Struthio camelus: one gene and its partner. The protein of the gene in region 2 interacts with the protein of the main gene of each other region in a pairwise test. Links are inferred from orthologs where the notes say so. Each region holds a gene or a part of one and is shown on either strand. Other genes may lie near its edges.

What was found.
Region 1: the proteins of PDE4DIP (region 2) and SCNM1 interact in binary tests that used the Homo sapiens proteins (3 or more experiments, as listed by UniProt). The two-hybrid records come from large-scale screens. The link is inferred for Struthio camelus from reciprocal best matches to the Homo sapiens genes PDE4DIP and SCNM1.

Annotation. Positions count from the first base shown.
Region 1 is NC_090971.1:20,169-28,044, forward strand, and holds SCNM1 (sodium channel modifier 1), read left to right. Parts: upstream 1-4,799; 5' UTR 4,800-4,928; coding exon 4,929-4,979; intron 4,980-5,952; coding exon 5,953-6,023; exon of another isoform or gene 6,024-6,027; coding exon of another isoform or gene 6,028-6,038; intron 6,039-6,174; coding exon 6,175-6,263; intron 6,264-6,337; coding exon 6,338-6,435; intron 6,436-6,510; coding exon 6,511-6,605; intron 6,606-6,812; coding exon 6,813-6,985; intron 6,986-7,130; coding exon 7,131-7,263; intron 7,264-7,335; coding exon 7,336-7,435; 3' UTR 7,436-7,537; downstream 7,538-7,876. Other genes in the region: LYSMD1 (lysM and putative peptidoglycan-binding domain-containing protein 1), read right to left, coding at 2,145-2,301, 2,437-2,702, 3,647-3,778. UniProt on the Homo sapiens protein: As a component of the minor spliceosome, involved in the splicing of U12-type introns in pre-mRNAs. Plays a role in the regulation of primary cilia length and Hedgehog signaling.
Region 2 is NC_090949.1:9,276,557-9,284,311, reverse strand, and holds the start of PDE4DIP (myomegalin), read left to right. Parts: upstream 1-4,672; 5' UTR 4,673-4,897; coding exon 4,898-6,046; intron 6,047-7,755. UniProt on the Homo sapiens protein: Functions as an anchor sequestering components of the cAMP-dependent pathway to Golgi and/or centrosomes.

The sequences.
Region 1 (7,876 bases), on a different chromosome or scaffold from region 2:
TATGGGCCTGTGCAGGGCTCTACAGGCTCCTATAGGATCCTGCCAGGCTCTACAGGCTCGTATGAGCCTGTGCCAGGCCATACACGTTTGCACGGGAACACATGCATGCAAAAGCAGATGTGAAAATATACGTGTGCAAATACACACACATGCTAACACACCAGCACGTGCACACATACATATGCATCCAAATGGAAACATACACTCATGTGCAGGCATGTACACATATGCATGCACATGCATGCAAATGTGTACGGCATGCACGCACGCCTGCACAAACACCTGTAAAAATGCATGGATAGAAACACACATGGGCAGATACACATGCAGCATGTGAACATGCATGCAAATGCAGGCACGCACATGTGCAAGGACCCACACACACACCCATGCAGCGCGTTGGGACTAGGACTCACCTTGGCACTATATTGTGTTGGGTGCTGGGTGGGGACCAGGTGGCCTTTCCTGCGCTGGTGGCTGTGTGCATGTCTGTGTGTGTGTCCATGCATCTGTGTGTAACCACGTGTGTGCATGCATGTCTGTGTGTGCATGTGTCTGTGTATGAGTGCTTGCAGGTGTGTGTGCATAGGTACAGGTGTGCATGCATACTTGTGCCTGCCCAGGTGTGAGCATGTGTGTTTGTGCATGCCTATTTGTGTGCATGTGCGTGTGTTTGCACGTGCAGCTGTGCCTGTGCGTGCATATTTGTGCCTGCATAAATGTATGTGTATGCGCAGGTGTGGTTGCACAGGCATGTGTATGTGTAGGTACATGAGCATGTGTGCATGGTTGTGTGTATGTGCATGGCTGTGCCTGCACATGTGAATGCACGTGTATCTGTGTGTGGACATGTGTGTGTACTGGGGCTGTGTCCCATTGGGGACTAGGAGCTACTGGGAGAACTGGAACCACTGGGGGCTGGGATGCCTGCGGGATGGGCTGGCCCTGGGGACATTCCAGTGGTCCTTGGGGATGTGGCAGCCCTGGGGACATTCCAGGGGCCCTGGGTGATGCGTTGACCCTGGAGGTCCTTGGGGACAAGGGTGATTCTGTGGACATCCTGGAGAGGCTGAGGGACAGGGTGACACTGGGGCCTCCTTGGGGACAGGGTGTCTCTGAGGGAGAGGGTCCTTGGGGACATCCTGGGGGGGCTAGGGAGTCCAGAGATCCCTGTGGTGTGGCTGCAGGGCAACACCTGGTGGCACAGAGCAGTGGTGGGGACAGGACACCTGGGTCCCTCGGGGGTGTCATCCGGGGATGACCGTGTCCCTGGGGGAGAGACTGTGTCTCCAGGTCTGTGACCATGTCATTGGGGTGACCATGTCCCCAGGGGAATAACCACATCCCTGGCAAGGTGACCATGTCCCTGGGAGGTGACTATGTCCCCAAGGCTGCGACCATGCCACTGGGGGGTGATGGTGTCCCCAGAGGACTGATTGTGTCCCTGGGGGTGTGACTTCATCCCCAGGGCTGTGACCATGTCCCTGGCGGGGGGGGGGGGTGACTGTGTCCCCAGGGAGATGATTGTGTCCCCAAGGGAATGACCATGTCCCCAGGGGGGTGACTGTGTCCCCAGAGGAATGACTGTGTCCCCAAGGGAATGACCATGTCTCCAGGGGGTGACCACATCCCCAGGGCTATGACATGTCCCCAGGGGTGACATATCCCCAGGGGGTGGGGTGACCTTATCCCCAGGGGTGGCCACATCCCCAGAGGAGTGCTGATGTCCCCAGGGCTGTGACCATGTCCCCAGGAGGATAACTGTATCCTCAAGGGGGTGACCATGTCCCCGGGGGAGGTGGCAGAGCAGGCAGAGCCAGGTGACAGTGCTCCATTTTATTTACAGGCTCTTGGGAAGAGGGGAGGCAAAGGGGGTGACTGACCCCATCTCAATCCCCAGAAGGCCCCAACCCCGCCGAGATCCAGGTGCTGCTCCCCCCCCAAAAACCCCAAGAACAAAAATATACAAATAAATATAGTCAGAGGAAAAATGTCAGCTAGTAAATCTGGCCCTGCATGGTCTTGCCTCAGCACCTCCCAGTACCTCCCAGTGCCCCCAGCCCCCTGGCTGTGAACCAAGGCACCCAGGGCTGGGTGGTGGGGGAGGTGTCTATGAGCCGTCAGGGCGTCTCCAGGGTGCCCCATCACAGTGTGAAGATCTCATCCTCGGTGTCGCGCAGGGCAGCCACCCGGGGCGTCCTGGTGAGGGGCCGGGGGCCGAGCAGGGCATGCCGGGCACCCTGAGGTGCTGGGTGGGCCCTGGTGTCAGGTGCCTGGGTGCCTTCGGCCTCAGCGACGCTGCTGTGGGGGAAGACAGCAGGGTGGCAACACAGGGTGACTGTGGGCACCCACCGAAATCACCCATCCTTGGGCTGAACGCACCCTCCAAAACCCTTGGGTTTTGCCCCAAAAGTCGGGGCAAGGGATGGCACTCACCTTGTGTTGCTCTCGCAGAGCCGGCGGGTCGCTGCAGCCTTGGAGAGGCAGATCTCAGCGTCGATCTGCCGGAGGAAATCGGCAGCCGAGAGCTCATGGCGGGATGTGGCGGGGCTGACCAGGACGGCCCCTGGGCCCGCATCTCCTTCCTCCTCCTCCTCCTTTTCCTCCTCCTCGGGGCCGAGCCGCCTGGGGATGAGGAGTGTCGGCTTGAGGAAGATGGTGTCAGAGGTGTAGAGGCGGTTGGCACGCTTGATCTGCTCCATCTGTGGGGATCAGATGAGACGGGATGGGGATGGGGATAGGGATGGGCTGGGGATGGGCCAGGGCCAGGGATGGGACAGGATGAGATGGGGTCGGGACAGGGATGGGACAGGGATGGGGACAATATAGGATAAGGACAAGGATGGGGACAGGGATGGGACAGGGATAGTGATAAGGATGGAACAGGGATGGGGATGGGGACAAGGATGGGGATGGGATGGGACAGGCATGGGACAGGGATGACATGGGATCCGGACAGGAACAGGGATGGGGACAGGGATGGGGATGGAATTGGGACAGGCACAGGGAGAGGGAGAGGGATGGGGATAGTATTGGATGGGGACAGGGATGGGACAGAAATGGGACAGGATGAGGACAGACATGCGGATAGGATGGGACACGGATGAGATGGAATAGAAATGGGACAGGGATGAGGGATGGGATGGGATTGGACAGGGATGGGATGGGGACAAAGATGGGATGGGATGGGATGGGACAAGTATGGGGACAGGGACAGCGATAGGGACAGGATGGGGATGGGATGGGGACAGGGTGGACAGGGATGGGGACAGGGATAGGGTGGGGATGGGAATGGGGCCCCCACATCCCCTGGCCAGCCTCATCCTCTGACCCCAGCATCCTGTCCCTGGGCCCTGCGGATAGCCCCAGGACCCTGCCCCAGGCTCCCCCTGCCCCACAGCAGCCCCCAGATCCCATAGTCTGGATGTCCTGCCCCATGGCAGCCCCCAGTGCCCCAGCAGCCCCTGGTCCCCCCCTGCCCCAGCTGTCCAGTCCCCCCCAGCAGCCCCCTGCCCCATGGCAGCTCCTAGCCCCCCAGCAACCCTCCAGCAGCCCCCCTGCCCCGTGGCAGCCCCCAGCAATCCCCCAGCAGCCCCCCTGCCCCATGGCTGCCCCCTGCACCCCAGCAGCCTCCAGCCCCGCTCACCGTGACGCCATAGCGCAGCGCCAGGCCTGCCAGCGTGTCCCCGGGCTCCAGGCGATGCTCGCGGCCCAGCAGCCCCCCCGGCCCTGGCCCACCACCGTCCCCCACCACCTCCCGCCCCAGGGGTGCCGCCATGGCGGGACGGCCCCACTCACCCCTGGCCCCTGCCGACGCCCTGGCACATGCCGGGGGGGCTCATGTTAACACTCCACCCACCCAACCCACTCCCGGGGGCCACCCTGCACCCCGATACCCCTACACTGGGGCTCGGAGGGACGGGACCCCCACTTCCCGGAGGGCCCAGGCGTTCTGGCGTGCCGCCCGTGGGGGTGATGCTAAGGGCGGGGGGGGGCCTTTGGCCGCCTCTCCGGCCCCCCCTCAGTACTGCTACCAGCCTGCCAGGCCCGCCCCCCCCCCGCCTCCAGTAAACCCAGTCTGGCTGCGGACTGGGTAGGGAGATGCCAGGCCCGGCCGGCCCTCGCGAAGGTCTCTGGGAGACGTAGTCTCGGGGGCAGAGGGCAGCGGGGGTGTTCCCCCCCACGCCATGGCCTGCAGTCGGGCGTCCCCTCGCAGCCCTGGCCTCAGCCTGTGCCCCCCACATGGGACCATCCCTGCCGTGGGGCTGCCCCCCCAGGGGCTTTCTGCACCCCCCCGCCCCTCCTTATTCCCCTAGGGTCTCTGTCCCCCCCCAGGGTCCCGCCCCCCAAAGGGTCCTCTCTGCTCCCTCTGGGTGCTCCCTGCCCCGCCCAGGACTCCTCCCCAAGGGTCCTCCTTGCCCTCCAGGGCACCTACTCCCCGTCAGGGCCCTCATTCATTCCCCATGTCCCTCTGTGACCCCCAAGGTCCCTGCCCCCAGGGTCCTGCCTCCTCCAAGGGTTCCTGCCCCCCACCAGGGGCCCTTTCTGCCCCCATCAAGGGCCACCGCCGACCCCTGATCCCCCTAAATGTTCCTGTCCCCCAGGATCCTTTCTTGTCCCCCTTAGGCGCTGCCCCATGAACCCCCCCCACCTTCGCCCAATAGTCCTCCCTGTCCCGCCCCGGGTCTCATCCCCCCCGACCTCTCCCCCTAGCAGCCCAGCTTGGGGGTAGAGAACTACAGCTCCCAGCATGTCGTGCGCGCGGGGGTAGGGTCCTGCTGCCGCAAGGCACTGTGGGAGTACCAACCCCGCCCTCTCCCTTCCCTGTTGGTCGCCGCGCCGGCCCGTGGCCCGCCGGGAAAGGCGGCCTGGAAGTGGGGAGGGGACGGCGGTTCCTACGGTAACCGCGGGCTGCGCCAGCGGCCGCTATGTCCTTCAAGCGGGAGGGAGACGATCCCGGCCAGCTCGGTGTGCTGCAGGTAGGACCTCCAGTGCCCCCGGGACCCCCCAACAGCTCAAGCCTCCCACACCTAGGATCCCTGGTCCAGCACCCTCGAGGCCCCCAACAGTTCAGGATCCCGCCCGCCGTCCTCCCTGCCCCCCAATGACCCCCTAGACCCGCCCCCTGTCCTCCCTGCCCCCCAGATCCTCCCCAGGCCCCCCTCCCATTCTCCCTGTTCCCAGATACCCCTCTGCCCTACAAATAGTCCCAGACCTCTTCCCCCTTCTCCCTGTTCCCAAATATTCCCCACCTTAACTTTCTCCTCCTTCTTCCTGCCTTCAATTACCCCCTGCCCCCCCTTAATGCCCTCCACCCTAGACCTGCCCCCCAGTTATCCTCTGTCCTGACTTGACCCCTTCAACATCCCCCTACTCCCAGACTTCTCCCAGACCTGCCCCCAAATCCCTCCCAGCCCTCAAATCCCCCTGCACACAAATACTCTCCTGCCCCCAAACCAGCCCTTCAAATACCCCCTGCCCTGACCCCCCTCCTTATTCTTCCTTGCCAAATATGGCCCTATCCACACCCCCTTCCCTCAGAGCTCTCTCTGAAAATACCCCTTCTCCCCCAAATATTCCCTTCCCTCGCTCTGACTCCCAACCTGACCCCCCAAATACTCCCTTCCTTCACCTCAGCTTGTGCTGTTCTCCAATCTCCCCCTGAAAATCTCCCCTAGCTGCCCCCTCTCTCCCCCACCTCAACCCCCCCCCCCCGTTTCCCCCACCTGCACCCCCTTCCCAGCTGGCTCCTCATCATTGCTGCCCCCTTTAGGGGTCCCCCGGGTGCCCAGGTTTCCTGGCTGAAGGGTGGATGGGTCCGTGGTGTGGCTGGGCTATGGGTGAGGATTGATCCCCTGGTCTGTCCCACTTGGACTGGTGAGAGTGCAGGGTGAATCATAGGCAGAAACCGCCTCCGGCAGCAGCTAACGTGACCTTGTTTGTCCCTCTCAGAAACGACGCGTCGCGGACCTGCTCGCCAACTATATCCCTGAGGACGAGGCAGTGCTGCTGAGGAGTGGGAGGTGAATGGGATCCATGTGGGTGGGCAAACCCTGAGCTTCCGTGGGCCTGGGCAGCTGGAACGACTCAAACCTCTCTTGCCACCAGGGACTGCTCTGCCAGTCTCCGAGTGCGGAGATGGGCGAGCCTGACGGCGTCTCCTCCCCTACACAGGTATACCTGCACCGTGTGTGCCCACCGCCCCATCTTCGATACTCTGGATGTGCTGGCGGTCCACAGGGCTGGCAAGAAACACGTTGCCAGTAAGTGCACAGGCTTGGCAGGGGGAGGCCGCTGCTGCACCAGGCCGGCCCACGACCCTCTCACTCTCTTCTAGGCCTGCAGAGCTTCTACGGCAGGAAGCACTCACTTGAGAACGAGGTGCAAAAGCGACAGCACGAGAAATTCGTGCGGGCGGAGGAGGCAGGCACACAGGTGGGTGCAGATGCCCCTTCCCCTCCCCACTAGACCCTCGACCAGACTGGCTTGAGCTCTGCCCCTTCCCCCCAGGGCTCTCCAGCCCCTTTGCTGGTGCGAACAAGGAGGATAGCCCAGAGCGCTCTGCTGAAAGCTGCTCCCTACAGCAGCTGCTGCCGGAGGATGGGGTAAGATCTTGGGGGTTCCTGCCCTCTCAGGGGTGAATGAAGTGAGTGGGCATCACCTTTCCACCTTGTGCAGCTTTGTCATTACCGACTCGCACTCTGTGGAATGCCCCTTCCTTGGCTGCCATCCCCCAGCTGGTAACAGGCACTCGTGGGATGACATTTAGGCGGTGATGGCTGGAGCTGGGCGTCACGCCTCTCCCATCCTAGGGTGAATGGAAATGGCTCAAGAGCAGGTATGACCCAGACGGAGCTGAGCACCGCCCCTGTGCGAATCGCTGCCACGGCCTCTCCAGAGCCCAGAGTCCCCTCGCAGAAGATCAAGGAGGCTGTGGGCACCACCCCAGTGGCCCTGCTGCCAGGGTGCTGTAGCGGGCGAGCAGGTAAAAGTGGGCCAGTGGCTCTGGGTCAGCACTGGTGCCAATGAGAAAGCCCACCGGGTTTCGGCTTGTTTGCAGCCCTGGCCCTGCCTTGGTTTCTCTCTTTTCTGCGGGTCTCGCCAGCTCATGCTCCTCTCCATTCTCCCAGACGTACCAAAGGCAGCTACCACCCAGACCCAGCAAGGTGGCAAAGGAAAAGCCTCGCCATCGCCTGCAAGCCAGCCTGAAGCCCTCAACCCCAAGAGGCGCCAGGCCCTGGAGCGGTACCTGCAGCTCCGGAGGTGAGCCACTCCCTGCGTCAGTGGGGACCCCTGTAATGAGCCACATCTCACTCTCCATCTATCCGTCCCCAGTGCCGGCTGGATCCAGGACCACTCTGGCAAGTGGGTGAAGGACGAGAATGCCGAGTTTGACTCCGATGAGGATGAGCCGCCCGTGTTGCTGCCGGCCTGAGGCCTCTCTCTGTCCTGCCGGTCCTCGCAGGGATGGTGCCCCGGGGATGCACCCAGCCCTCCCCACTTTCCATGTTAATAGAGGCAGCTGGAGGTGAAGGAAGTGTCTGAGCTGTTGGGAATCTCTTTACGGGGAGGCCCCAGGATGTGCTGGTGTGAGTGGCGTGGGGAGGAGTCGGGTGGTGTTCAGGGATCCCATCATTCAGGCACCATGAGGTGCTCAGCACTGTATGTTTTTTGGGGTGTCCTCACTGTGTCCAGAGCGCTGAGAGCAGCAGGGGATACTGTCAACCTCGACTCTGGCTTCGGCTCCTCTCCACCCCATTCCATCCTGTCCCTGACCCAAGTCACGCTCTCTTTTTTGCCTGCTGGCAGGTGTCTCCAGGTCATGACCTTTTGGGGTGGCAGCACTGGGCTCCCTCCTCCTCCTTCCCAGCAGCTG
Region 2 (7,755 bases):
GGAAGACGGAGCGGGGAAGGGAAAATGAGCCGGGTGTCTAGGCGCAGGGCTGGGGCGCGGAAAGCCCCCCGTGCCCCGCCGTGACCCCCCGCCCCAGGGGGGGATTTCATTGCCGGAGCTCAGGTGGCCCCGCTGCAGGGGGCGGGGGGGTCAGGGCTGCTAATGGGGCTAAAGTGCTTCCGAGGGGGGGGGCTCCGCCGTCTGCGCGGCCCCGAGGGCCTCGTGGCGCCGCGCTGAGAGCGCACGCCTCCGGGGGCTGCAGGCACGCACGCGCGGCCCTGCGCCCACCACCGGCTCGCGCAGCCCCGGTGGCACCCACGGGTGCCCGGCCGCGCGCCCCCTGCCCGACCGCGGGCCCTGCGCTCCTCTCTCTCTCCGCAGGGACCCCTGCAGCGGCGAGCGGCCGGCCGCGCCGCCCGGAGCCAGCCGCATGGCGGGTAAGGGGCGCCCCGCCAGCCTCCCCCCCCGTCCCCGCGCCCGCCGTCGCCCTGCCCCGCGGAGGGCGAGCGAGGGGCGGGCGCCCCAAAAGCCCGCGTCCCCGCCGGCGCACACCCCGGAGCAGGGCGGCGGGGGGGGGGCGGCGCGTGCAGCGGCTCCTCTGACGGCCGCCCGCCTCGCTCCCCGCCAGCGTCCCCGGGCGATGCCCCGCCGGGGGCCGCGGGCGAGCGCGACGAGGCCGCCGAGCCGCCGCCGGCCGCTGGCCCCCCGCTCGGCCCCGGCCCGCCGCGCGGCCCCTCGGCGCACAGCTCTCTCCTCCGCGACCTGGCGACGGGCCCCCCCGCGCAGACGCAGACTTCGCTGCGGGACTTCGAGCAGGTCAGCCGCGTGCCGCCCGGCTCGTCCCCGCCGCCCAGGAGGCGAGGGCGGCTCCCCTCCCGCTCCCTTCCTCGCCGCGGGGTGGCCGGGGACCCCCGGGGGGGCCGGGGAGGGGACGGCCGCGCTCCCTCCCGCCGCCGGCTGCCGCGCGCCCGGGTTGGGGGGGGGGGGCCGCCCCGGGGGGCTCGGGTTTCACCGCTCGCCTGTCCCCTCTCCGCCAGGGATTCCTCAAATAGCTCCCGGAGAGAGAGGGGGGGAAAAAAAAAAAGGGAAGCGGCGGGGCGGCTGCGGCCACCCGGCGGGAGCTGGGAGCTGGGAGCAGGCAGGGCGGGCGCCGGGCGGCCGCGTCCCCAGAGCCTCGTCCCGCCGGGCCGGGCCGGGGGCGCCGGGCGAGGGGGGCGGGCGGGGATGCCCCCCCCCATGGAGCGCCCGCCATGGCTAACGGCTACCGCACGCTCTCGCAGCACCTCAACGACCTGAAAAAGGAGAATTTCAGCCTCAAGCTGCGCATCTATTTCCTGGAGGAGCGCGTGCAGCAGAAGGGCGAGGGCAGCCGGGACGAGGTGTACCGGCGGGTGAGCGGGCCGGCGGGCACGGCGGGTTGTCCCTGTGCCGGGAGGGGCACGGGGTGCCGGAGCGGGTCGGGGCGCCGGGGAGGGCGTCGGGGTGCAGCGGCAGAGCCGGGGTGTGGACGGGAAGCGGGGAGCGAGCATGCCGGCGGTGGGCGTCTCACGTCCTGCTTTGGGGTGCTGTGAGCCGTCTCGTGGGACTTCCACAGCCCCCTTGCTTTCTTTGACCGGAGAGGGAAGAGCGATGGGAAAGCCAGACGCGGACCCGCCGGCAGCGAAACGCCCTGTCGGCTCCTGCTGTAGCTCCCGTGGGGAAGGCACTGACGTTGGGGCTGGGCCGGTTGCCCCGTGCCGGCGCCGAGCACGGGCCTCCCGGGCCCTCTGGCCGCCTGGGCTTCTCGAACGCTCCCTGGCTCGGGGAGGAGAAGCGCGGCGGCGCCGAAATGGGGCTGCCGGCCTGTGCCGCGGGCAGCAGGGAGCCGAGCTGATAAATAACCCCAGGTGCTAGGAGAGCCGTCCGGCAGTGGCGGGGGGGGGGCGTGTGGCCGAGGGCACAGTTGCCCTCTCCGTAGCCGCAGGGCTGCGGAGGGGCGCGGGGCAGGCGGGCGCCGGGGCTGGGCGCCGGGTACGGGCAGACAGCTGGAGCGGGTACATCCCGTCCCGGCGCCTGCCAAAGCTGCGCGGGGCAGGCTAAAATAGCACCCGCGCCGCCGGGCTCGGCGGCGCGGCGCCAGCAGCCAGAGCCAGCTGGAGCAACAGCCCGAAAAGCCGGAGCAGCCGCGGCGGCTCCCACCCTCCCCGCGGCGCTGCGGGCCAGGGCAGCGGCTCCTGGGTCCCCGGCGCGGCGTGGGGCTGCCCTGCAGAGCACCCCGGTGCCATGCTCACCGCCCCCGGCCTCCCCTGCAGAACATCGAGCTGAAGGTGGAGGTGGAGAGCCTGAAACGGGAGCTCCAGGAGAAGCAGCAGGCCCTGGATAAGACATGGTAGGTGGGGCTGGCCGAGGCTCGCGCGGGGACGTGCGGGGTCCGCAGCGCCGGTGGCGCTTGCAGATGGGCACTAGGGACACCAGGTGTCGTGGCGCTGGGCGGTCAGTCCCCAGAGCGAGCCAGGGCTGCGGGCAGCGGTGGGGATTGGCAAAGGGGCCATGTGTCCTGCTGGGAGGGCAGGGCGGCCCGCGGGGCTCCTCTTACATGCCCGCTGCAGCGTAACCCGGCACGGCTGTTGGCGAGCCAAAAATAAAGGGCAGCACCTGTTTGCTGAGGGAGGGCGAGCGCTGCGCTCCGGGGGCCGCGGCGCAGGTACCTCGCTGTCCGCACAGCAGGGCTCTGCTGGGCACCGGGCGGCTGGGGGCATTTCCCTCCTTTTGGAGAGGTGCAGAGACAGCTTTGGTGTTGCAAAACATGCCACGTGCTGCCTAAGCTCCAAGCGGGACCTAACGACGCCAGATGAGTCAGTGTCCCAGGACTGTAGCTTTCCGGGTTTAAAATACACCATGCCTGGGTGCTCTTGCAAGAAAAGCAGCCGGTGCCCACTGGCGGGCTGGGGTAGGGGTGGGCAGGCTGGAGATGCTGGAGCAGCTGGGGCGGCTCGGCTCTCCCATCCCAGGCGGTTTGGGGTTGGGGCTTTTGCAAGCCTGGTGTGCCCCGCGGGAAGAGCAGAGCCCTGGCTGGTGGGGACGGGCATGCAGGGCCCAGGGCTTTGCATGAACCCCATGCTGGGTCCCGCTTGACCGGTCCCCGCGGTGCAGGTCCCTTCCCGAGGTCTCCCGTCCCTCTCCCAGAGAAGGGACGGTGCGGGGCTGGGGAGCCCCTGGCACAGCGGGGGCCATGCCGTGCCATGCCGTGCCTTGCAGGGTGGCCGCGGAGAACCAGACGAACCGCAGCGAGGCAGCGCTCCGGCAGCAGTACGAGGAGAGGCAGCGGGAGTCGGAGCACGTCTACGAGCTCCTGGAGAACAAGATCCAGCTCCTGCAGGAGGTGAGCGCCGGACGGCCGGGCGCGCGGCTGGCCGCCGGCACCCCCTCGTCGGAGGACGACGAGGGCTGGGAGGGGACCGGGGACGTCCCAGCGGCGGGGCAGGGGAGCCGCGGTCCCTCCGGCCTCACTTCCCGCTACCCTGCAGGAAGCTAGGCTGGCCAGGAGCGAGGCGGAGAAGGCCACGGCGCTGGCCAAAGCCGAGACGGAGCGGTGCCAGGAGCTGGCCGCGAAGCTGAAGGAGGCGGCGAGGAGGAAGGAGGAAAGCGGGCAAGCGGCTGACAGCAGCGCTCTGGCCCACAAGGACAGGTAGGTGGCCCAGGCCCCCCCACCCTGCGTGGCCAGCCCGTGCCCCCCGGCACCCCGGCGCTGCGCGGGGCCGGCCTCGCGCCTGAGCCTGCCCCGCCGTTGCCTTCCCTCGCAGGAGGATCGAGGAGCTGAGCCGGGAGCTGGCGGCCAGCAACCAGCTCGTGGAGCTGCTGTCGGCCGAGCGGCGCGACCCGCGGCGGCGGCCGGAGGGGCCGGCGGCCGCCCAGGCGCAGGTGGGTGGGCCGGCAGGGCGGCGGGCTCCCCCTTACTGCCCCCGTCCCCTTCGGGGGCTGCTTCGCCGCCTGCCCCGGCCTCCCCGCGGCCACGAGGCGGCAGCAGCCCGGCCCTCGAGCGCGCCCGGGGCAGGGCAGCCCGCCCGCAGGGTAAAACCCGGGTGTGAACACACCCGACGGCAGCAGCGCGCCCGGGGCGGGGGGGGGAGCCAGGGCCCCCAGGGGTCACGGCCATCCCCGCCGGCCGCGGGAGCTCCGGGACGGCACGACCCGGCCGGGGGTGCGGGGCAGGGCCCCGGCCTCGGGGCTGGCGCCGGCCGTGGGGCCGCGACGTGGGGCAACCCCGGCGCTGGGCCCACCCGACGGGTGCTGGGGCGGGGGGGCGGGGGGGAGGAAGGCTACTGCGCATGCGGGCCCGCCTGGCCGGGGCGACTACAAATCCCGGCAGGCGCCGCGGCCGCCGCGCACGCGCGGAGCTGCCGCCCGCCGCCATCTTGAAATCTGAGCCACAAGCCGGGCGCCGCCGCCGTGGCAGGAGCATCGTCGGCGAGGCGGAGGCGGGAGCGGGAGTGGCGGGGGCCGTAGGGCCGGGACGAGGGGGGCTGCGAGGAGACGGGGGGGGAGCCCCGGGGCGAGGGGGCAGGTCGCGGTAAGGGGGGCCCGCGAGGAGCGGGGCAAAATCCGGGGTGAGGGGCCTGGCCGAGGCGAGGGGGCCCGTGAGGAGCAGGGGGAGCCCTGGGCTGAGGGGGGCCGTGAGGAAGGAGAGGGGGCATCCCCGGAGAGGGGCTGGGCTGGGCTGGGGGTGTTGTAGAAGGGCAAGTTCCTGCAGTGCGAGGAGTCCCTGGGAGTCCCAGGGTGTGACCCCAGGCGGGGGGAGCTGGGGTGAGGTGTGTTAGGGGCTCGTGGCCTGGGCGATGCGCTGAGGGAGCGGTGGAGGCCTGGGGAAGGTCTCCTGAGAACCCCCAGGAGTAGTTGGGGGTGCTGGTCAGGAGGGAAGATGAAGGAAACCTGCCGGATTTGCGCCCGGGAGCTGTGCGGCAACCAGCGGCGATGGATCTTCCACACCACGGCCAAGCTCAACCTGCAGGTGCTGCTCTCCCACGTCCTGGGCAGGGAGCTGTGCCGGGATGGCAAAGCCGAGTTCGCTTGCAGCAAGTGTGCCTTCATGCTGGACCGCATCTACAGGTTCGACACGGTCATCGCCCGCATCGAAGCCCTCTCCATCGAGCGCCTGCAGAAGCTGCTGCTGGAGAAGGACCGCCTCAAGTTCTGCATTGCAAGCATGTACCGGAGGAACAATGATGACTCTGGCCCAGATGACAGAACTGGGGATGGGACCGTGGACCTTTCTAACCTGCCCGATGTTCGGTATGCTGCCCTCCTTCAGGAGGACTTTGCTTATTCTGGGTACGAATGCTGGACGGATCATGAAGAGCACAGCCTGGAACCACACAGCTGCCACGCTTCAGAGGGAGCGAGTAACCGCCCGCGGCGCTGCCGTGGCTGTGCCACGCTGCGAGTGGCCGATGCTGACTATGAAGCGATTTGCAAAGTGCCGCGGAAGGTGGCCAGAAGTATCTCCTGCGGGCCGTCCAGCCGGTGGTCAGCAAGCATGGGCAATGAAGAATCATCTGTGTGTGACACTGCAGAGTCATCTGGTGCCAGAGGGCCAGTGGATGGGGAGAGCATGGAGGAAGGCACGCCTGCGTCCTCCATTGAGTCGCTGGACACAACTGTGGAGGCTAGCCCTCCGCAGCAGAAAGACGAAGATGCAGATAAGGGGGTGAAAGGGAGCGGGAAATGTGACGATTTTGCAGAGGACCGCATGACCCCGAACTCTTCGCTGAGTGGGAATAGGCTGGAGTTGGCCCTCAGCTTGATCAAGGCTTTAGACTACAAACCCATTCATAGTCCCAGAGGCAGCAGACTACCTATTCCTGTGAAATCCAGCTTGCCACCTCCCAAACCCAGCCGTGACTTGGCAGATGGAAGTGCTCCTGCTGGCTTAGTGTATGCTGGTTCTGGTTTCCTGAATGCAGACAGGAAATCTCTTTCCAGAGCCCATTTGGGTCTTTCCTTGGAGATCTCTGACCTGCAAGAGCTGTGGGACGATCTCTGTGAGGATTATATGCCGCTTCGGGTACAGGTAGAGGTCATTGTGTAGCCTTTCAATTGAGCAGCGTCCCTGCAGCTCGACTCTGAGTCCATTAGGAATTCCTCCGCGTTGAGATAATACGGATAGCCACGTGTCACTGAACCACGGGCTAAGAATAGGCAGCTCAGTCCTTTTTAGGTGCGGTCCCTCTCCCTGTCGCTCTCCTGTGATATGGTTCCTTGTTGTTTTCTGGGAAATTAATCTTTCCGTCAGTCATATCTCCCTGTGAATGCAGGGTTCTGGCTGGGTCTGAGGTCTTTGCATGCTTTCTCATTTTCTGCTGAGAAAATGCCAGTTTCACTTCAGCTGTCTCTTTAAACAGTTGATTTGGATTTTACCCACAACTAAAGGGAGCGTTTTAAGCTGCTGGGCATGTGTTTTCCCGCAAACGTTTTTTCTTTGTGCCTTGGTAATGGCACAGTGTCAGGCATGTCTGTCTTCAGAGCCTTGCCTCAAACCAGCCCAACAGGCAGGTCTGTGCAGTGATCTGTGGTGTCTGCCCTAAGGAGAAGGTGTTCTCTTTGCAGGTGGATTTGTGCTAGTGGATTACTTTAGGGCTGGTATTCTAGATAATTGGTTTTATTTTTTTGATCCTTTAAAAAGATTCGTCAATTAATGGCAGTTATTGCTGAGAGGCGGTGAGCTCTCTTGCTTTCACAAGATGCCTTGGTACTGTTATCTGCTTAGATTTTAGTCCTGCTTAGATTTTTGTAGTGCTGGATTGTCTCTGCTCTGCTGGCTTTAATAAAATCTTCATTAGTATGCAGTCAAAAAGCTGAACTTGTTAACTCCTCTGTCACTTCCCTTAATGAAGGTCTCAGTCAGCTTTAATTCAGGAATATCCATGTCAGCCTAATTGCATTCACATTAGCAGCCTTAGTGCTGCCTAATACTCTAGGTAGCCTCAGGGAGTAGAAAAAATGCTTGTTTATTACTATGGCAGCTGTAGCTGTACCGAGCCTCACTGCCTATTCGGTGAGTGCTGCTTACTCTCCCATCTGCTCGGGTGTTTTCCAGAGCTGTGCGCTCCTTTCATAATAGTCTGCTCGAGAAATGACATTACGGAGGAATGGAAAACAGCAACATTAATTTTCACGCGGTGCACTAAGGCCTTGCGTTTGTAGCCTGCGATTGAAGATGTGAAGCAGGACATAGATGCTGCTGCTGTATTCTGTCAATTGCTGCTCATTTTTGCTCCTAGGGACGTATTTTCAGCATGAAAATAGAGTCTCTCTTAACAGAGCAGACAGTGATCAGTGTGACACATGAGTAGCTTGGCTTTGTGTCATGCCTTGCCATCCTTGTATCGTGCAATTGCTTAGAGGAGTTTCTTTGAACTCTGGCCTCTGCAGTACAGCAGTCCTGGCAGGGAATTCATCCTGCTGAATTCTTTACTTCCCATTTCTTGCCATCGCAACTACCCATCAGCAACTGGTGACCTCAGCGCTGGGTTTGGCAGAAGGGGAAAGCGCTTGAGTGTTCGGATGGTTTTAGTGGAAAGTCAGATGCTGCTAGTCAGCTAAATGGTTCTTGTGTAAATGATTTTTTTTTTTTTTTCTTTTCTGTTTCTGTATAAACATTACTCTTTCTAGAAGCCAGGTGCTGCTCTCCAGTGATTTGTATGCTTGAATGCCTGTCTGGAAACATGAAAGGAATATATGGGACCACAGTTTTCTTATCGCTTTAGGGAAAGCGCAGGT